3 linked regions of the Coturnix japonica genome follow. The protein of the gene in region 3 interacts with the protein of the main gene of each other region in a biochemical or structural test. Links are inferred from orthologs where the notes say so. Each region holds a gene or a part of one and is shown on either strand. Other genes may lie near its edges. The genes, in order: DUSP1, DUSP3 and MAPK1.

Evidence for each region.
Region 1: of the proteins of MAPK1 (region 3) and DUSP1, one has a biochemical effect on the other in vitro, tested with the Homo sapiens proteins (2 studies listed by BioGRID and IntAct). The link is inferred for Coturnix japonica from reciprocal best matches to the Homo sapiens genes MAPK1 and DUSP1.
Region 2: of the proteins of MAPK1 (region 3) and DUSP3, one has a biochemical effect on the other in vitro, tested with the Homo sapiens proteins (2 studies listed by BioGRID and IntAct). The link is inferred for Coturnix japonica from reciprocal best matches to the Homo sapiens genes MAPK1 and DUSP3.

What each region holds. Positions count from the first base shown.
Region 1 is NC_029528.1:10,950,981-10,954,726, forward strand, and holds the start of DUSP1 (dual specificity protein phosphatase 1), read right to left. Parts: upstream 2,328-3,746; 5' UTR 2,187-2,327; coding exon 1,817-2,186; intron 1,697-1,816; coding exon 1,548-1,696; intron 1,440-1,547; coding exon 1,220-1,439; intron 711-1,219; coding exon 340-710; 3' UTR 1-339. UniProt on the Homo sapiens protein: Dual specificity phosphatase that dephosphorylates MAP kinase MAPK1/ERK2 on both 'Thr-183' and 'Tyr-185', regulating its activity during the meiotic cell cycle.
Region 2 is NC_029542.1:2,873,776-2,877,521, reverse strand, and holds the start of DUSP3 (dual specificity protein phosphatase 3), read right to left. Parts: upstream 2,520-3,746; coding exon 2,398-2,519; intron 1-2,397. Other genes in the region: ras-related protein Rab-18-B-like, read left to right, coding at 2,670-2,740, 2,839-2,894, 3,202-3,263. UniProt on the Homo sapiens protein: Shows activity both for tyrosine-protein phosphate and serine-protein phosphate, but displays a strong preference toward phosphotyrosines. Specifically dephosphorylates and inactivates ERK1 and ERK2.
Region 3 is NC_029530.1:386,087-389,832, reverse strand, and holds the start of MAPK1 (mitogen-activated protein kinase 1), read right to left. Parts: upstream 2,541-3,746; 5' UTR 2,317-2,540; coding exon 2,174-2,316; intron 1-2,173. UniProt on the Homo sapiens protein: Serine/threonine kinase which acts as an essential component of the MAP kinase signal transduction pathway. MAPK1/ERK2 and MAPK3/ERK1 are the 2 MAPKs which play an important role in the MAPK/ERK cascade.

The sequences.
Region 1 (3,746 bases), on a different chromosome or scaffold from region 3:
ACTGTCGTGAAAGGGGACAACATCAGTGTTGCTTAAAGTGTCCAGGAATGGGAATACTGGTGAGCAGGCTACTGAACATGCAGCAGGCTTAGGACAAACAGAAGACAAGGGGAACAGCTCAGGAAAACGCAGCATCCTCTGATCTCTGCGTAGGCATCCCAATATTGGCTTCAGGAGCCAGCAACACACAGAACACTGGTTGAGCTCCTCGTGTGTACAACAGCGTTCTAGGACAAGTGGATGGTTCCCCACAGGACAAGTGGCTGATGATACTGTCCCCATAGTTATTGCACTTCTGAGACAAGAATTGTGAGTTCTGGTCACGCTTCTGCCTGCCTTTCAGCAGCTTGGGGAGGTGGTGATGGGGCTCTGAAGGTAGCTTAAAGCACTGGATGAGGTGTGAACAGGGATGGAGACTGGGAAGTTGAAGACTGTGGTGGTCGATGCTCCTCTGTCCAATACTGACATAGCAGGGCTCCCAGCTTCTGCTGAGCAGTTGGGGGCAAGAACCTGCGACTCAAACTGCAGCAGCTGCCCCATGAAGCTGAAGTTTGGGGAGATGATGCTCCTTCTCTGCTTCACAAACTCAAAGGCTTCATCCAGCTTGACTCTGTTGGTCCTCATGAGATAAGCGAGGCAGATGGTCGCCGACCGGGAAATGCCAGCCTGGCAGTGCACAAATACCCTTCCTCCATCATTTTTAACAGAATCTGAAAGAATTAAAACGCCCAGTTAACAAACAAGTCCCACTGCCTCTGGAGGTGGGAAAGCAAAGGCTGCTGCTTTCCATCTCTTTGTTTCATCCCCTCCTTAGGAGCCCAATAGGTGAGCCCTGTGCTTTGGAGACAAAGAGCCTTTGTCCTGAGGGAAGCTGCAGTCTAGCTATTCTCATTCTGGGCTCCAATTCCAATTATACTAATAGCTCCTCCGGGTCACTTTAGCAGTCTTGCAAGATTACTTTAATACTGATCCACTTAAATTCACTAGCACTTTTCTAGAGGATACCATTTCTCTTGGCTCGAGGTTTCTAATGGTTTGGCAAAGCTGAGATTATCCCTCTCTCAGCCCAGAGAAAGTGATGGGCGCATCCCCTAAGAACACCTAAAACAAAGGTTCCCCGATCCCAAACGCAGGCAGCGCTGGGGAGCACAATGCCCTAAAAGCCACTCCCGAAGGGACGTCATCCGAGACAAAAGGATCGCAGGGAAAGCTCATTTACCTATGAAATCAATCGCCTCGTTAAACCAGGAGCTTATGTCGGCTTTGTGGTTGTCTTCCACAGGGATGCACTTGTACTGGTAGTGCCCCTCGAAGTGGTTGGGGCAGTTGGCCGACACGTTGATTAGCGCCGTGATGCCCAGCGCGTCCAGCATGTCCTTACGGGAGGCGTGATACGCGCTGCCCAGGTACAGAAACGGCAGGATCTCCACCGGCCCGCCCTGAAACAAAAGGGGCAGATGCCCGGTTAACATCGCTCGGCGGATTTACGATTCCCGTCCTTTCTCCCACGAGCGGCGGGGCAGCCCCAGCCCGGATCCCGCACTCACCTGGTCGTACAATGGGGTTCCGCAGGAGCTGCACCCCGAGTCGGCGCTGCCGGGCGCGCTGCTGGCGCTCAGGGGCAGACTGAGCCCGGTAGGGGCGGCGGGTTTGGTGCACAGCTCGGAGCAGGCGGCCGAGAACGCTTCGTATCCTCCTGCGGGGCACAGGGGAGAGAGGCGCGGGGTGAGCGCGGCGTGGAGCGGGGCGGGCAGAGCCCTCAGCCGGCGATACGGCCAACCCCATCCCGCAGCGGCTTTTGGGGCCGCGCACTCACCCTTAAGGAAGCAGATGCGGGCACCGCGGGTCTCCCTGCACAGCGTGCCGAGGGCCAGCAGCAGCGTGCTGTCGCGCTTGGGCAGCTCCAGGTCGGCGCTGCGCTCGTCCAGCAGCACCACGGTGTGAACCTGCCCCTGGCGCAGCCGGGTGCGGAGCTCCTCGTTGGGTACAACGTGCTCCAGGGCCAGCACGCCCTTAGCGCGGCGACGGACGATGGTGCTGAGCCGCACGTTGCAGGAGCCGCGGATGTGAGCGGCGTTGAACGAGAAGAACGAGCGGCAGTCGAGGACGAGGCACTGAGCGGCGCGCTCCTGCAGCAGCCCCCGCAGCGCCTCGCACTCCAGCGCACACACACGTAGGTTCACCATGGTCCCGTGCTCGGTTCCGTCCGGTTCGGATGGCGGGGAAACAAAGCGCTGGAGCTCGCGGAACAGCGGGATCAGACGCGGCTGGACGCGACTCAGCGCGGCCCCGTGCGAACCCACCCGCCTTATATCGTGGCGCGCCGCGCCGCCGCCGTTTTCTCAATGGGGCCGGGTCACGTGATCCTGGGAGCAGACGTCACCTTGGAGGCGCGCCAAACAGGGCGCGCCCCGGCACCGCCGGTATGACGTCATCGGCGCGGGAGCGCGCCGGCGCGAACTGAGAGGCGCGGGGGCGCGCTGGTTTGTGTGTGTGTAAGAGTATAGACATACACACATAGATAGGGTTACATGTTACACGTGCCTGAACATACACACATATAAATACCCAAAGCTATCACATTTCTCTACATACAGGCACACACCATGGATATATATACACATACAAGTGCATAAACACACTTATACACACATATAAATACCCAAAGCTATCACATTTCTCTACATACAGGCACACACCGTGGATATATACACACACACACACACCATGGATATATATACACACACACACACCATGGATATATACATATCCGAGAACCAAACATCCACACCATGGCTATATAAATACGAAACACACACACACACACCATGGATATATATACACACACACACACGTATGTGAGTGTGTTCACATGTCCAACAGCAGCACCGTGAGTGGATGCAGGCGTGGGAGCAGTCCTACAGGTTCTCCTGCAGCACATAGAGATAAGCGCACACAGACAGGGATTGGTGTTTGTGCATAGGCATATATGCGTGTACGGACACATCTACACATCAATATATGCACATGTGTGCGTATATTTGCATGTATATGTATAATGTAAACGTATCTGAGAGCTGTTCTCATGTTTCATATGTAAGGATAATCTCGCAGTAGACCTGGGGAGGTTCATTTTCCGCACAGCAGGTTCCCCAGCAGTCAGGGCAGCCCAGTACCCGGCAGTGAAGCCATTGGAGCTCTGTTTTTCCCCCCTTGGTGTTGTCTCAGCACTTCCCAAAAGTCTGCCTTTCCCCGTGGGCGCTCAGCTTCCACCGCAGCACTCAGCTGTTTCTTGCTTTCCGCTTCCCGTCAGCGCCGCATTCACTTCCCCTGCCTCCCCAGCACTTCTCCCCTGCCCCACACGCCAGCACCATCCCTGGCTTCAGCCCTTCTCCCCCAGTCCCTTCCCAGCAATCCCTCTTCGCCTGCTCCACCTGCGTTGCTCCTTCCTCGCACCATTCAGAATCTCTAGCTTTCAGCAGCTTTCTCTCATCACTTCCTTTCAGACTTCCTTTCTTCACCCCAGATCCCCCAGCCATCCTCTCCCACCCCCCTGACAGTTCCCCATCCCCCAGCCCTGCAGCCTGTCGGTTCTCAGCCTTCTCGAATTTTCCAGTTGCTTCTCCACCAGTTTCCACCAATCTTCATCCATCCTGACCTAAAACCAGCCCGGCACCTCATCAGGTTCAGTGCTGCAGGGCTTTCCAGGCTCCCCAAGGGTGTCAGGAGGAGGAGACACAGGGAAG
Region 2 (3,746 bases), on a different chromosome or scaffold from region 3:
CTTGTGTGTCAGAGAATGTTCCTTTCCTGGCTGACAGCTGAACAGAGAACACTGGGCTTCAATCCTCCACTCCCTACTATGGCACTTCTAACCCAGACCATTCAATTCTGACCATACTAAGAAAATACAGGGGATAACAGAAACGCTATGATTAACCATAACCATAATTAACCATATGTTAATTTAAGAACCAGTTACAAACAGCCTCTGCTGGAAGCCACCAATGCTGCTTCTCAGAAGCATTTTGAAACACAGAAAGTAAGATATATGTTATCACACTATATGGTTGCATGGGATGGTTATCACCCAATTCAAGGCTATGTGAACATGTAGAGCAGAGCATTCCTTTTCTCCCAATGATCGTTCACCCCTTAAGTTATCCTTATGCACGAATCCTTATGCATGAGTGAAGTTTCTCCATCTCCTCTCGGTGCCAAACAACTGCGGCAAGGGGCCAAGCATTTGTAAAGACTTCATTACCCAAACAAATGTTGACAGATCTTTTCCATCTGGCAGGACATCATCTGTGCCAGGGGACAAGTGTCAGTGCCCAGGGAATTCTGCTTGCAATGCAGGAGTAAATACTACAGAGCAAGGCCAAAACACCATCACCCATCACCCTATCATGTGTTAATGCACCTGTGAGTCCCTCTGCTTAATGCAGTGAGCACATGGCACAAGGAGCAATGCATATCTGATTGTGGTTGGGATCAATGTGAACCTGCTTTGCATCCACTCACCCAAGCAAATAAACCACATCTATAATATGGAGCAAGAACTGCCCGACAGGACAGTTTTCTACTGTTATGTTCTCACTAAATTGCTCCTTTACCACTCAATTTAATGTTAATTTGGGGAGAATGCCTTTCAGATTCCTTACTGCACTTTGAGCCCCAAGAATTGCTTTGTGGGTTGACCATACACATTTAAACAGCCAGAAAACCCAGCTATGTGCTCTGCAAGCCTGGTGAAGATGCATTCTGTCCAGCTGTTCCGCTCATTGACTACAAGGTTACACTCAACTGCATCCTGATTTTGGCAGTGATAGGAAATTATTTGTACTTCTGATATCATCTGAATTGTCTGCTTGAAAAACACACTTGTGTGAACGAATCTAATAGTTCTTGTTTTAGCGATGTTACACTTTGACTCATCTTCAGAACTCTTTGATCGCTATGGAAGTTTACAACCTGTCTGCTGTGCTACACAAAAGCTCTGTCATTTCACCTCTGTGTCTGCATTACTGATACCTTCCATGGGAGACGTGGCACTTGATAGACAAATTGCCATCCCACGCTGTGACCCCATTCAGTCTCACCCTCCTGAATGTCTCAGCACTGTTACTTTTACCCAAGGATGAGTCGTTCGTAGGTAAAACTCTTTGTGGATGTCATTACTCCATATATTCTCTGATATCAAATCCCTGCCCTTGGTAGCTGTGGGAAAGGCCTCACATTGCAGGCAGTGCTTGATCCCTCCAAGCCAGAGCGTGGAGGTTTGTCAGAGCAAACAACTGCATCGCCTTATTCTCCTGCTCCCCCCCCCATACAGCAGCTCCACAGAGATCCTAATGTTTGTGCAGTGAAGGCTGAAATGGAGACGTGAGCTGAGCACAGAGCTGACACGAGCAGATGCTGGAGCAGAATGGGATACAGGAATGCACTGCAGACACAAGGCCTGAGCAGCTCTGTGTGCACAACAGCTACTGCTGCCCTGTCATCTCAACCCTTGGATATCTGTGGGCAAGGATAGGAAGGAAAAGGGGAATCACAGAACTGCAAGGGTTGGAAGGGACCTTCACTGAGTCCAACTCCCTGTACAAACAGCCCCCTACATCAGGCTGCACAGGTTGGCATCCATATGGGGCTGGAATATCTCTGTAAAAGGATACCCCACCATCTCATTCCAGGGCTCCATCACCCTCACCATGAAATTCTTTTGCATGTTGGTGCAGATCTTCCCATGCTCCAGTTTGTGCCCATTTCCCCTTGTCCTGTCTATAGAGACCGCTGATAAGAGGCTGGCCATATCCTTTTGCCTCCCACACTTTACAAACACCAATAAACCCCCCAATATTAGAAGGACTTAGAAGAAATCAGGAACTTCAAACCCAGCACGGGACGGACGTGTCTCACTCCTGAACTCTGAGTTGCACTTCAACCCCTCCACCCTCAGCCGGGTTCTGCAGCAGGTACCATTTATGGGCAGCACCCGCTGGGTGCCATAGGAGCCCGTATAGCGCCGTGCTCTGGCCCTATAGCTTGCCAAGCCCTGCCGGTCCCCGTAGCTCCCTAGGGAGGCTGGGGGTGCCCTGGGGGCAGCCGGGGGGCCCCTCCCATTGCTCGCAGCCCCTCGTGGGCCGCCCACCTCGGCCCGGCCCCAGCCCGGCGCACTCACGCGTTCCCCACGTGGATGCGCGGCACCACCTCGTTGCTGTGAGCGCTGGGCAGGCTGTAACAACCGCTGCCGTTCGCCAGGAGATCGTTCAGCTCCTCTACCGAGATCCTGTAATCGGACATGGCCAGGCCAAGCCGTATGTACGGCCCCGTTAGCTCCGCTGATCGGTTCCGCCCCGTTCCGCCCCGCCCGGTACCGCCCGATCGAGGGGAGGAGTTGGAGTAGCTGCTCCGCCGGAGCGGACCGACAGCGGGCACTGTGCGGGTACCGGGATGAACATGGACGGGAACGGCATCACTGTGAAGCTGATCCTGATCGGAGACAGCGCCGTAGGGAAGTCCAGGTGGGGCCGGACCGGGTCGGGTTGGGTTAGGTCGATGTTGGACTTGCAGCTCCTCGCTGTGTATCTCAATGCTGAGTGCCGGTGTTGTGTTCCTGCAGCCTCCTGCTGAGGTTCGCTGAGGGTTCCTTCGAGCCGAACCTGAAACCGACCATATGTGAGCCGAGATTGGGGGGGGGGGATGTGAGGGAATGGGGGCTATGGGGTTTTGGGGTGATATTGGGTGTGATATAGGGTCAGTGGGGGGACAGGGAGTGCTATGAGGGTACATTGGGTGTATGGGGATGGGGAGTGCTGGGAGGGTATAGGGTGCTGTGGGGATAGGGAGTGCTATGAAGGGACACTGGGTGCGAGGGGATGGGGGCTTGTGAGGAGCCATCCCATGGGGGGATGGCAGTGAGGAGCTGCAGACACCCCTCTTCTTCCACATCCCACAGCCTTCCCTATCTTATTTTGCATCTTAGGTGTTGATTTTAAAGTGAAGAAGATGGTGGTGAATGGCCACACGGTGCAGCTTGCAATATGGGTACGTTTGATATAGAGGTCTCCTATAGGGGCTGTACTGTGTGTGTTGGCTGTGTTCTGAGCAGAGCCTTGCTGGGGGCAATAGGAAACCTCATAACCACACAGGGATGTGCCTCTTTGCTGTGGAATGGAAACCTCTGCAGGTTGTGTAGCTGGTAAAAGGTGCTTTACAGCAATAACAACCATTGGGAGAGGCTGCTGATGAGCTGGAAGGGAAAACTGGTGCTTGGAGAGTGTTAAATAAAGGCTTCGATGCATGTACCAAGCATCAAAGTAAAGGAGAGGCTTTGACTTTAGTATCTGTGTGCTCATGGATACACTGGAGTATAACCTGCTTAGTAAGCATAACCTGAACTAAGTTGCCTCTTTATTGTTTGTGGGTTTGAGTATTCGGGACATAACTTAGCAATCATTGAATAAAACTTGTTTTTCTTCTTGTTTTTTTTTTTTGCTGCTTGTGTGTGTTTCCTTTTCTTTTTCCCCT
Region 3 (3,746 bases):
TTTAAATATGAACTCCCTAATTCAGCGATGTGGAAACATAACACTTGTGAAAAATAAGCGAGTGAGGGATTCCACTAAGAGTTAAGCCACCCATTTTGCATATAGCAAGCCTTACAGCACAATGCATTTAGAAATAACCAGCACCTTCTGTCTCATACACATCAGCTGACTGCCTAAAACAAAGCCATTAACGCTTGCCTTGCTGTCCTTTCTTAAGAGTACAAACCTAAATGGCTTTTCAATAGCAGGAGCTGTCTCCACCTGCACCCTGTGGCTTTGCCCTCTGCCACCCCAGCCCGGAAGGGAGATGCTCTGCAGATCTGCACTGCGTTACAGTCAAAGCAAGACCCGGGACACGCAGTACGAATCTGCATAAGCTCTACCTGCACTGCTCAGTAAGCACTGTTACTTAACCATAGTAGTCGGTGTGCTGCGCTGCAAGGCATGACAGTTGCTATGGCATTCAGCTGGAACATGTGCATCCAGCACCTCCTTTGTCAAACACGCATAAACTGAGACTTTGTTCCCTGGCATTTCACACCCAAGGCAGAAGATCAATAATTACAGTGCAATGTATCACGTTCAGGATTTCACACCAACAGCTTTAGAGAAGAAAACAAAGGAGCCAAATGAATATCTCAACTAAACTGGAGATTCAGAATTTTTTGTTAAGAAATACAGATAGCATTTGAAGCAGAATATCATTTAATATGGCAAGTTTCCAAACAGACGATAATATTCCACAGTTTCAGAGAGGAAACCCTTCCATAACAGAATGGAGTGACACACCGTGTGCAGGGGAAGAGAAGGACCCCGTTTCCCTGTCTGCTCCCAATCACGGTGACGCCAAAAAAGGGCATCAGCTGCCACCGCACTGCGCCGTGCACAAACATCTCAGCGTGAGCAGCCGGCTGCGGCACCACCTCGGTACCGCACGGCACGGCGCTGCTCACAGCTCCTGCCTGGATCGCTCTGCGGGCACCAAGCTCTGCTGGGGCTGCGAGCTGCCACCCGGCTCCGCTGATAAAGGCACACAATAACAACACCTGGAACACGAGCTCTGGACGGGCCGTTGTTGTGACTTCCAGCACTAAACCAATAACAAGGTTATTTTTACACCATCAACGGGAGCTTTTGTTTTTTTTGGTTTATGTGCTGGAGCTTCTTCCCACAACACAAAAGCAAAGGCCGCAGCTTTAAAGTTCCTGGCAGATGTTTGTCTGCCTCCCCAGCAGCTCAGGAGCGGCTCCAGCTCCCACCAACACAGCTCGGCCTCACCGTGACGGAGCAGCACATCCCCACAGCTGCGAGAGGAAACCTGCAGATCCACAGCGTGCAGCTGAAGGCAGCAAGGCAGCTCTGCTGAGCGATACACTGCGGTTTACAAAGCACGAACCGACAGAGAGAGAAAGCAAAGCTGCTACACAACCATAGCTGCGAGTGTCACACAGCACCTCCGGTCACACAACACACCGGGAAGCGCCGCGATGGGCCCGTCAACGAGGAGCTGCGTTTCCCATCCACAGCCGCCCATGCAGAGCAGGTGCCCCGAGCCGAGCACGGCCGGCCCAGCCCGGAGCTCAGCGGCAGCACCGCGGCTCGGCCCGGCACGTCGGGGCCGCTGCTACAACGCCAAAATCTCGCGATCGTTGTCCCGCATTTCGCGGTTGGCGCTCGGAGCTCGGACCGGTCGGCGCAGAACGCGCACACACGGCCCGGCCGCCGCCTGCCAGCCGGGCAGGGCCGAGCGGAGCCACCCGGCCGCAGCCGCAGCGGGAGGCCCGGGCAGCAGCAGCAGCAGCAGCAGCAGCAGCCAGGTGAGCGCCGCACAAAGGGACAGCGGGGCCCAGGGCACAGCGGGGCAGGGCAGGGCCCAGGGCAGGGCAAGCGGCGGCCGCCCGGCCTTCACCTTCACCTGCCCCGCCCCGAGGCCGCGCGGGCCGCTCCCGGCCGCACTCACACAGCGCCCCGAGCCGTACTCACCACCCCATGCCGTACTCAGCACACTGTGCCGTACTCACCACCCCGTGCCGTACTCAGCACCCCATGCCGTACTCACCACCCCATGCCGTACTCACCACACCATGCCGTACTCACCACCCCATGCCGTACTCACCACCCCGTGCCGTACTCACCACACCATGCCGTACTCACCACACCATGCCGTACTCACCACACCATGCCGTACGCCCCCTCTCCGATGTACGAGAGGTTGGTGTATCGCGGCCCCACGTCGAACACTTGGCCCCGCACCATCTCCGGGCCCCCGGTGCCGGTAGAGCCGCCCGCGGCCGCGGCCCCCGCCACCGCCGCCATGTTGTCCGTGCCGGGAACCGCGGCGACTGCGTGCGGGGAGGGGAGGGAGGAGAAAGGAGGGGACGGGAAGGAGGGAGCGAGGAGGAAGGAGGCGGCTCCGCCACACCGCGCTGAGAAGCACCGGCCGGAGAACGGGCCGCGGAGAACGGAACGAACCGACCCGCCGAGCAACCACCGCCACCAGAGCGGGGACGGGACGGGACGGGAGGGGGCGGGGGGCGGGGCGAGACCGGGGGGGCCTCGGACTGCGGTAACCGCAACCGACGGGGAGGGGGCGCGGCGCGCGGGTCACGTGGGCGGCGGGTCACGTGGTGGGCGCGGCCGCTCCGAGCGCCGCCATTAGAGGAGTCAGGTGATGGCGGGAGGAAATGGAGACCGGGATGGGGGGGAACGGGACGGGACGGGACGGGACGAGCACGGCGGGTACGAGCACCGTGCGGGGACGAGCTCCGTGCGCGTCGCTCTGGGCCGGACACGCAGCCGTTCCCGCGGCTCCGTGTCCGGCGCTACGTGCGCGTTCCCGCGCCCACACGGTGCTGTCACACACGGTGCTGTCACACACGGTGCTGTCACACGCAGCCGGGCCGGGCCGTCTGTCTGAGCTGACATTAAAGCATCAGTGACAGAAGGAATGGGAAGGTGTCTCAAGCAGGTCATTGGTTTGATGGCTGAAACACGGCGTTATGTTGAGGGGATGCTGATACCACGAAATGACGGCGGGTAATGACGAGTGGAGAGAAGAAAATGAACAGCATCATTGGGCTTAGAAAAAGCACAAACAGCTGCCCCACAGTGCTGCTCTTGGGGATTTCGTTTTCTCTGCTAAAACTCAAACTGAACAGTGATGCAGGAAACTTAAAGGTAGTTTATAGAAACAAGTAAAGGAAACTTAAAGGTAACAAGTAAAAGAAACAAGGGGCCTGGGAGAAGCAGGGAGAGTGCTGTGCTCTCAGTGCTGTGCTCAGTGCTGTGCTCTCAGTGCTGTGCTCAGTGCTGTGCTCTCAGTGCTGTGCTCTCAGTGCTGTGCTCAGTGCTGTGCTCTCAGTGCTGTGCTCTGTGCTGTGTTCTCTGTGCTGTGCTCTCAGTGCTGTGCTCAGTGCTGTGCTCTCAGTGCTGTGCTCAGTGCTGTGCTCTCAGTGCTGTGCTCAGTGCTGTGCTCCCAGTGCCCCGTCGTCCAAACCAAATGCAGACATCCAGTACAGAAAGCAATTTTCCAAGTGTTATTTAAGGAGACTTCAAGCCTCTGCCTGGAGGAGAAGAAAGAGAAGTAAGACATGTAAGGCATTCTATAAAGATGTATTTTAACTTCTAAGGCAGTCAGCAACCATGGTGATGAATGTGACACAAACTGAAATTGCTCGGATATGAGCTCTGATCCACTGGGAGCCATCCTAAGAGAGTCATAAAGAGCATCAGATGCTAATGACTTC